Oryctolagus cuniculus: one gene and its partner. The protein of the gene in region 1 purifies or fractionates together with the protein of each later gene. This does not show direct contact. Links are inferred from orthologs where the notes say so. Each region holds a gene or a part of one and is shown on either strand. Other genes may lie near its edges. The genes, in order: GTF2H5 and CDK7.

The links.
Region 2: the proteins of GTF2H5 (region 1) and CDK7 purify together in Homo sapiens (affinity purification with mass spectrometry; 7 studies listed by BioGRID and IntAct, with this or other methods). This does not show direct contact. The link is inferred for Oryctolagus cuniculus from reciprocal best matches to the Homo sapiens genes GTF2H5 and CDK7.

Annotation. Positions count from the first base shown.
Region 1 is NC_091436.1:9,584,865-9,589,304, forward strand, and holds the start of GTF2H5 (general transcription factor IIH subunit 5), read right to left. Parts: upstream 2,940-4,440; 5' UTR 2,797-2,939; intron 2,163-2,796; 5' UTR 2,125-2,162; coding exon 2,090-2,124; intron 1-2,089. UniProt on the Homo sapiens protein: Component of the general transcription and DNA repair factor IIH (TFIIH) core complex, which is involved in general and transcription-coupled nucleotide excision repair (NER) of damaged DNA and, when complexed to CAK, in RNA transcription by RNA polymerase II.
Region 2 is NC_091445.1:90,220,687-90,225,173, forward strand, and holds the start of CDK7 (cyclin-dependent kinase 7), read left to right. Parts: upstream 1-1,448; 5' UTR 1,449-4,124; coding exon 4,125-4,190; intron 4,191-4,487. UniProt on the Homo sapiens protein: Serine/threonine kinase involved in cell cycle control and in RNA polymerase II-mediated RNA transcription. Cyclin-dependent kinases (CDKs) are activated by the binding to a cyclin and mediate the progression through the cell cycle.

The DNA of each region.
Region 1 (4,440 bases):
ATTTCCCCTTTTCGAAGCACAGTGGTCTCCCCTTACTCGCAGTTTCTGTGTTTATCTGCAGTCAAATGTGGTCCAAACATAGTAAAAGGGAAACTCCAGAGACAAGCACTGTTCTTAGCAGTGTGATGAAGTCTCTCACGGCCGTGCTCGGTCCTGCTGGATGTGCTACCCGCCCCTCAGTCTTCTCAGCGACCTCGGCTGTCAGAGCACTGCTGTGCTGAGGCGCCCTGGTTTTACTCAGTAATTGTCCCAAATGCAAGAGCAGGGAGTGTGCAAATCGGGTAAAGCAGAGAGAAGCTGTAAAATGCTTTCTTCAAGTGAAGTGGTGAAAATTCTCCACTTAATAAGCACAGGGAAAAAAACAGTGTGGTGTTGCTTCGACCTATGATGAGAGTCAATCCTCCACTCATGAAATCGTGTTGGTAGAAGAAGTTCCTGTTACTTTTACTCTCCCATCTCAAACTGCAAGTTATCACCACAGTGCATCCTAAGTGCTTAGGTAAGAACGGGAAGGCATTACATTTACGGTTGGGTATCACCTGCGGTGGAAGGCATCCGCGGAGGGGCTGGAAGAGTATTCTCCAGGGAGGAGCGGGGGACAAACACACTCCAATCTGGCACCTTTCCCACCACGCCACCGAAACAGCTCTTACCAAAGATCGACTGCATCTCATCTAGTCTGTCTTCACATCATCCACCTTTCACCACTCCTGCTTACAGCCCATTCACCTCCGTGCAACATTTTCTCCCTTAGCTTCTGCACTCTTTGCCGGGTCACCTATGCCGAAACTCCAGATCTGTACTAACCATAAGGCAGCCCACAAGTCACACTCACTAGAGCAACTGAAATAGGGCCGGTCTGTGAGATATGTTGGAAAAGCACAATACACACCGGACTTTAAAGACTGTTTTTTGGGGCTGGTGCTGTGGTGTAGTGGGTAAAGCCACACCTGCAGTGCTGGCATCCCTTGTGGGTGCCAGTTTGAATCCTGACAGCTCCACTTCCGATCCAGCTCTCTGCTATGGCCTGGGGAAGCAGTGGAAGATGGTCCAAGTCCTTGGGCCCCTGCACCCAGGTGGAAGACCTGGAAGAAGCTCCTGGCTTCAGGTCGGCTCAGCTCAGGCCAATACGGTCATTTTGGGAGAGAACCAGTGGATGGAAGATCTCTCTCTTTCTGCCTCTCTGTAACTCTGCCTTTCAAATGCATTCGTTTTGTTGTTGTTGTTGTTATTTTGAAAACTCAGTACAAGCTGAAAGAATATTTTCAATATGTTGGGGTTAAATAAAATGTTCATTTTACCCATTTAATTTTACTTTCAGAAGTGGCTACTAAAAAATTCAAGATTACATATGTGGCTTGCATTCTGTTCCTATTGGAGGGTGCCGCTCGAATCTGACGGCTGTTGTCCTCGCCCCTTCCCCAGGCTGGCTCACCGTCACGGGATACATAGCAGCATCTGTGCGATGGCCATCTCAGGGGCACACAGAGGTGCGCAGGCCAGAGTTCCTTCATGGGACAGAACTACTGGTGGGTGAGCCAGCAAGTGGACAAGGAGCAAGACTGATTCTGGAGTGCAGATTTTGGAGACTGGGCAATCGCCGAGCCCTCTAGATTACACTGCTTTGCCAAATTCAACCTTGGCCGGGATGGTCTCCGGTTTCTCTGGCATGTGTGCAAAGGAGTTCAAGAAACCCTAACGGGCCCTGTCTTTCTCCTTAAAGGTCAGTTTGTAATGAAGGCAACGGAGCTCCTGCCATCTTACAGGCCTTGTAACTCTGTCACCTTCTGATGGCTGGAAGAGATTACGAGTAACCTTTCCCTCCAGGACTAGGCCGATCAATTCTGATCAAAAATCGCTGGAAATGATGCCAATTACACTAATGCAACGGAGACACTGAATTCTGTCCCCTCCCCCCCACACTCTGGAAGAAATTTAGCGACAAAACGTTTCACTTTTTGAAAGTGTAGAAAATGGAAAGACTTGATTGCATTCCGGCCTTAGAAAAGAAAACGAAAAAGGGACTTGACCTCAGAAAAGGTCAGATGAGTTTGAGTCAATACGTAAATGAGGTATCAAAACTACTAACCATTCTATGAGCACTCCTTTCAAGACGTTGACCATCTTTGTCCAGCCGGAAGGGGCAGAGGATCTCAACCAAGCTAATAAAAAAGGACAAGGTGGACATGTCATTCAACAGCATCGACCGGAACAAGGCAAGCCACTCCCCGTCAGTATAAACAGCGAAGTCTATCAGAGACGAAGCTAACACAAAGGAGACATGCAGCCATTCTGAGCTTCTCACAAAACGGAGTCTGTCCGGAGCTGTCCACCACGCACACATACACCTGCGGCCGAACCCCACAGCCGCGCCGCGCCCCGGTACTCCGGCTCCCCACCCGGGGGCTTGACAAGGCTAAGGTCCCGGAGGGCGGGGGAGAGGGGGCCGCAAGACCTACAGGGCGCCCAGCCTCTTCATTTCGGACCTGAGACAGGGCGAGGACCCTAAGCCGCCGTTCTTCCCGGACCGGACCGGACCGGGAGGTCGGGGGTGGGGGGACACAGCCACACTGCGGGCTCCCTCCCCGGGTAAACCGCGTCCCCCAGGCTCCGCGCTCCGAGCTCCAGGCGCGGCGGGCGCCCCCTGACCCCTCCAACCGCTACCCCGGGGCCCAGGGCACGGACACCCAGCGCCGCGTCAGAGCGGGGCGCACTCTGGCGCCCCAGCACCTGCAGGACAGACTTTCCGATCTTTCTCCTCCCTCTCTTTCCGGGAACGCCCGGTCTCCCACGCACCTCACCCCGCCGGCTTGCCCCGAGCTCGCCACGCACCGCAGCCCACAGACCCGGCGGCCCCCAGATGCCCCGCAGCGCGCGCGCGCGTCTGCCCTGTGACGTCATCGCGCCGGGGACGCTCTGTGGGAGGAGCGCGCCGCTGGGAGGCGGGGCGCGCGCTGGGCCGCGTGGGCGGGGCCACAGGCCGGCCGCCGCCGAGTGGAGGGCCGGGGGCAGGCCGCGCCGGGAGGGTGGGCTCTCCGGCGCCGGGATTCCCGGTGAGCGGTCGGGGGGCGGGCCGTGTCCGCGAGCCGGCAGGTAGGAGGACTGGGGGGCCGGGCTCGTGAGGGCGGACGCGGGCGGCGGCGCGTGGGAGCACGGTGACGGGGCGCCCCAGCGAGGTCGCGCGGCGTGAGGGGCTCTCTCCGGTCCTCGGGGGCCGGAGTGTCCTCTGGCGTCGGCTGCCCAGCTCGGGGGGCGCCGCGCGGGGCTGCCCGCGTGCAGCCGGGCGTGGAGCCTCGGTCACGGCGGAGGGGGAGCCCGCGGAGATCCCGCCGGTGCCGACCCGGCCCGGGAGCGCGCGCGCTCTGAGGAGGTGCGGGCGCCTTGCGTTGAGTTGCACCTGCCGGGTGAAGTTCGTGCGGATTTTTGCCCGTTCCCCGCGTGGGCTCTTGTGGTCCAGCTGCGATCCCCGAGTCTTCACGTGCCTTGCGTCCCGGGGCGCTCGTTCCTGGCGAGTGCCCTTGGCTCTCTCTGCCTTGCGCTCCGCGTGGGCGGTGTGCCGGGGATTCGGGGTGCTGGCCCGATGCCCGCGCCGGGGGACCCGTTTGTAACGTGCACTCCACCGCTCAGACGGAGCTGCTCATCCTCCGCCCGCCCCCTCCCGTTAAAAACCTGCTTTTCCTTCCCGTGTCTCTCCAAGTCACCCAGTTTTAAAATCTGCATCCGCTGGATCAGCGAGCACTGTTGTGCACCTGATAGGTGCCAAACCGTGTTCTAGACGTTTGCGGTCTATTGGTGAAGGTACAGAGGGCCGCAAAAATGTTAAGGACAAAATGCCAGGTGGTGACGCGGTAGGGATTGCATGGAGAGTGTCAGAAATGGCCTTTAGGTAGGTTTCTGAATTAAAAAAAAAAAAAAAAAAAAAAAAAAAAAACTGATACCAGCAAAATACTAGCAATTTTAATAATAGTAAAATAATCCGTAACTTCCAAGACTAAACATTATCTGGAAGTTAGTGAAACTAAAGCATTAGTTCCTTTAGGGAGAAAATGATAATGCTTTATTGAAACACATGGAAGACTTGAGTGACGGAGAGATACATCATATTCATGATCAGAAGGCTCGATACCAAATAGAAATCGGCTTTCCCCAGGGCTGTAAATTCAGTGCAATGCCAGTTAAAATCACTGTATTGGGTTCTCATGAAACCCGACATGCCAGACTTCAAAATTTATATAAAAAGGCAAAGGACCAAGAATAGCTAAGTCAATCTTGAAGAAGAAAAAAGCTGAAGTTCTTTTTTGCGAGGTATCAAAGCATAAAATAAAACCGTAATCATTAAGACAGGGTGGTGCCGGCGCCACGGCTCACTAGGCTAATCCTCCGCCTGCGGCACCGGCACACCGGGTTCTAGTCCCGGTCGGGGCGCCGGATTCTGTCCCG
Region 2 (4,487 bases), on another chromosome or scaffold:
ATTATTTGTTCTAAATTTGCTAACATTTTTTCAGTCATAAGGTTACTAAAGTATAACTGGCTTATTAATAAGTATATCCTACTCCAAATGATAAAAATATACCCAAGATAAAAACAGATGTCCATGGTATTAGAATGGGTAAATAAGACAAAAGATTATTTGTAACCTATATTCAGAAAAAATTTCAGAGTATGAAATAAGGATACGAATATAGGAATAATTTTCACTACAGATTGTAGTTTATTATATTCTGGGAGATAAAGTCATTGTTTGGTTTACCACTTTGTGATCATGTGTGCAAATCCTGGTAATCATTAACTTCCTCAAATTTATGTCTTAAAACCTCATATATTCACCTTAAATAATTTACTTTATTAAGGCAATTTATCAAACTTTAACAGGATCATCCTATGCCAACGGTATGTATATTATGAAAATAAAACCTCACAAAGCTAAATAAATTCTCTTCCATATCTTAATGATTTCCAGAACGTGCTTAAAGAAGTCATCCTGATAGTGAGGGTGGTAGCTCATGAGCGATAGACAGTAGAAGTGTTGAGTTCATGTTTCCTTTTTTTTTGGTAAGATTTATTTATTTTACTTGAAAGTCAGAACTAGAGGGAGACACACAGAGAGAGATCCTCCATCCGATGGTCCACTCCCCAAATGGCTGCAGTGGCTGTAGCTGAGCTGATCTGAAGTCAGGACCCAGGAGCTTCATCCAGGTCTCCCACGTGAGTGCAGGGGCCCAAGCATTGGGCCATCGTCTGCTGCTTTCCCAGGCGCACTAGCAAGGAGCTGAATGGGAAGTGGAGCAGCCAGGACTTGAACCAGCATTCCTTTGGGATGCCAACACTACAGATGTCACCCTAATCCGCTGCACCAGCCGGCCCCAGAATTCTTCACCCAGCTACCTGTGGGTTACTCTTACATCTGCTGCTCCAGTTCATCTGCTTCTCTTGTAAATTCTGTGTTGTAGTCCCATGTAAATGTTCCCCAACACAAACGAGAGATAGGAATTTGGGTTGGATGCTAGCAGTCTACTCATACTAGTCTTTTGCTCTTTCTTACTTTTCTCCCAAGAAGCCCAGGGCCATTTTTTGCTTCCAGAAAAGGGATTTCAGGTAATGGAGAGCGGTTAGAGTAATACTGTGGGTGCCATTAGAAACCCTAATTCTGGAATTAAGAATCTGAGGGCTGGCAGGCGCCGCGGCTCACTAGGCTACTCCTCCGCCTAGCGGCGCCGGCACACGAGGTTCTAGTCCCGGTTGGGGCGCCGGTTCTGTCCCGGTTGCCCCTCTTCCAGGCCAGCTCTCTGCTGTGGCCAGGGAGTGCAGTGGAGGATGGCCCAAGTGCTTGGGCCCTGCACCCGTGGCGGCCATTGGAGGCAAAGGAAGACCTTTCTCTCTGCCTCTCTCTCACTGTCCACTCTGCCTGTCAAAAAAAAAAAAAAAAAAAAGAATCTGAGGGCAGTCCTTACTACAGTTCTTGCCACGAAGATCAAAATGAAAAAAATCACTTGTATAATCTGGGGGGTGAACCAGCACATGGGAGACCTCTCTCTCTACCTCTCTTTCAAATAAATCTTTAGACAAAAATGTTTATTTTGATGAAAGAATTTTTTTTTATAATTCACAAGTATAGCTAGGCAAAAGCATGTCAGTGGGAATGGCTGTCACAGGATGAGCTCCAAGGACAGTGTTGTAGACAGAATTCTGGCAAGGCTGAGTCAGGACGTCTGTTTCCATTAGGGGTTAAGCACTCACACAAGGGTATTCCAGAAAGTTCAAAGAAAAATAGTTAAAAGATGTTTATTTTGGTGCCAGCGCTGTGGCATAGCAGGTTAAAGCTGCTGCCTGCAGTGCCGGCATCCCATATGGACACTAGTTCAAGTCCTAGCTGCTCCACTTTGATCCAGCTCCCTGCTAATGTGCCTGGGAGGGCGGCAGAGGATGGCCCAAGCGCTTGGGCCCCTGCACCCATGTGGAAGACCCTAGAAGAAGCTCCTGGCTCCTGGATTTGGATCTGCTCAGCTCTGGCCCACTGGTGGCTATTTGGGGGGTGAACCAGCACATGGAAGACCTCTCTCTCTACCTCTCTAACTCTTTCAAATAAATCTTTAGACAAAAATGTTTATTTTGATGAAAAGATTTTTTTTTTAATTCTGCATAGTTTTTTTTAATGATATCCATGAAATTTTTGAAGAATCTTTGTATAATTAACCATCAGCAAATTGGTTAATTTGTGTTTCAGTTTTCCTCTCTAGTATTCTACAGTATAGGATCAAATTAGAATATTATCTGTAACCTGAGAATTTAGTGGCTGGAAACAGTAAGCCCTTATGGCTCAGTTACTGGGGCTGCAGTCATCTGAAGGCTTGGCTGCAGCTGACAGTCCCATCTCCAGGGTAGACCACTCACGTGGCAAGTGATGCTGGCTGTTGTTGGCAGGAGTTCCTCTCCGTGTAGGAAGGCTGTGCGTGTGGACTGACACGACTGACTTTCCCTGTAGTAATGATGCAGGCGTGCAGGCAGCAATGGCTGCTCCCACTTCCACCGCTGTGCCGTGTTCCACTGGTACAGAACAGCTTGTCTCATTGTGGGAGGACGACACAAGGGCATCCATAGCAGAAGGCAAGGTCGTCATGGCCATCTTTGACTAATAACAGATCTATAAACTCCGTGAGGTGCAGCAAAAGCTCAATATTTACAGACCTCATTGCCAGGGTATCAGCTAACCCATCGTCAGCAGCACGGTACAAGGTATGGAGTATCAACTTGTAGGACATGGCACACTTGAGAACCTCAAGCCTCAAAGGTAAAACTATCGTATTTAGCTCATTAGCTCTACAAGGAGGTAAAATTACCAAAGTATGTCTTTCGGAAGGAACGCTGGCAGAAGTCACACGACAGCACGCCTCTCTAGGTAGGACTTGCCCCAAGAAAAGTGGTAAATCCGGTGCACTTCCTGCAATGTACAAATCTTGCCTAGAGCCAGGTAGTGACAAAGCACCGAAAAAGAACAGTAATGGCTATCGTCAACCAAGACCTAGCTGCCGGAAATAAACTAGGTACGCGTAGTAGGTGGTTTGGCCCGGTCCTCCATCTCGTGATTGCATACTGGCGGGCAGGTATTCCGCTACAGGCGGTCTGATGCCGGAGCTAATGCTGACTTGCTGTATTACACGAACTGCACTGTTTTTGGCCTTGGCATCCTGCCATCTTCAACACGTCTCTGAAATCGGGATTTCGGCTCTCAGAAGCGTCAGATGCAATGGAGGAAACATTTCCGTGGTGCAGGCTGCTCCACTCAGATCTTGGAATCATTCTTTCCCCCTCCAACCCGTATCCAGCCTGTCCGTAAATGCTATTGGGTAGAAAGCAAGCAGAGTCATCTGGATTGTTGCACTAATTTTCTAACAGGGTCCTCTTTCTAAAAAATACTTAAAATCACTCTTCATCTGTGAAGCAGAACGGGCAAGCCCGTCTGCTGGTTCACTCCCCAGATCTCAATGGCAGCGGCCAGGCCAGAGCCACCAGCTGGAATGCAACCTCGCTGGTAGGAACTCAAGTACCCGAGCCATCTCCGCTCAGGCGAGTGGGATTCTGCCTCCCTAGGCCTGCTCCTCCCTAAGGGGAGTGCACCTGCTCCCGACTCGGCCTCAGAACGCGGCAGAGGTCGCGGGTTCTGGCGTCCACAGCAACCGTGACGCCGGAAAGCCTAGAGCAGCAACCAGCACGCGGTCACAAACTATCCGCACACGCACAGCCCTAGAAAATTCCGAACGCGGAACACATCAGGACGCCCACTCGTCCCCGACTGCGAGGACAACACCCAAATTGAAGCGATAAAACAGCAACACAGCGGCTGCCCAAAGGGCCGCACTTCCGGCATCCGCGGCGGTCACGTGACGGGCGCGACCCCGGCCCTGAGCGGCTTTGGTCCGGACGGGCTTTGCCCGGACTCTTTTAACAGCTGCTCCGCCCACCCCGGAAGTAGGGGCGGAGCCTCAAGCGTCGGAGCCCAGTGAGCGGAAGGGGCTGTTGGAGGCTTTAAGGCAGCTTTAAATTCCAGCTGTCTGGGGCGCCTGCCTCTTTTGGCTGGAGTCGGACTTCGGTTCCCGGATGGCTGTGGACGTGAAGTCTCGAGCTAAGCGTTATGAGAAACTGGACTTCCTCGGGGAGGGCCAGGTGAGGCTCTCGGGCGGGATGGAGAGCAGCGCGCGCACAGCCTTGCAGGGTTTTCCATGGACGCCCGAGGGCCTTGGCCGCTCGCTCTCCGTGGGGAGGCCGCCCGGACACAGCTGCCGCCCCGTTTTGTGCCCTGGAGGTTGGACCCCCACCCGGGAGCCCCCCGCTGCTTCCCGGCGGAGCGCGCTGGAGAGGGACGGGGCTGCCGAGCGCGGTGCAGGCCGCGGGGCCCGCGGGCTCCCCGCTGGCGCGAGCAGCAAGCGCCCGGGACTCAGTTCTCCCTGTTTCTCTTTCCAG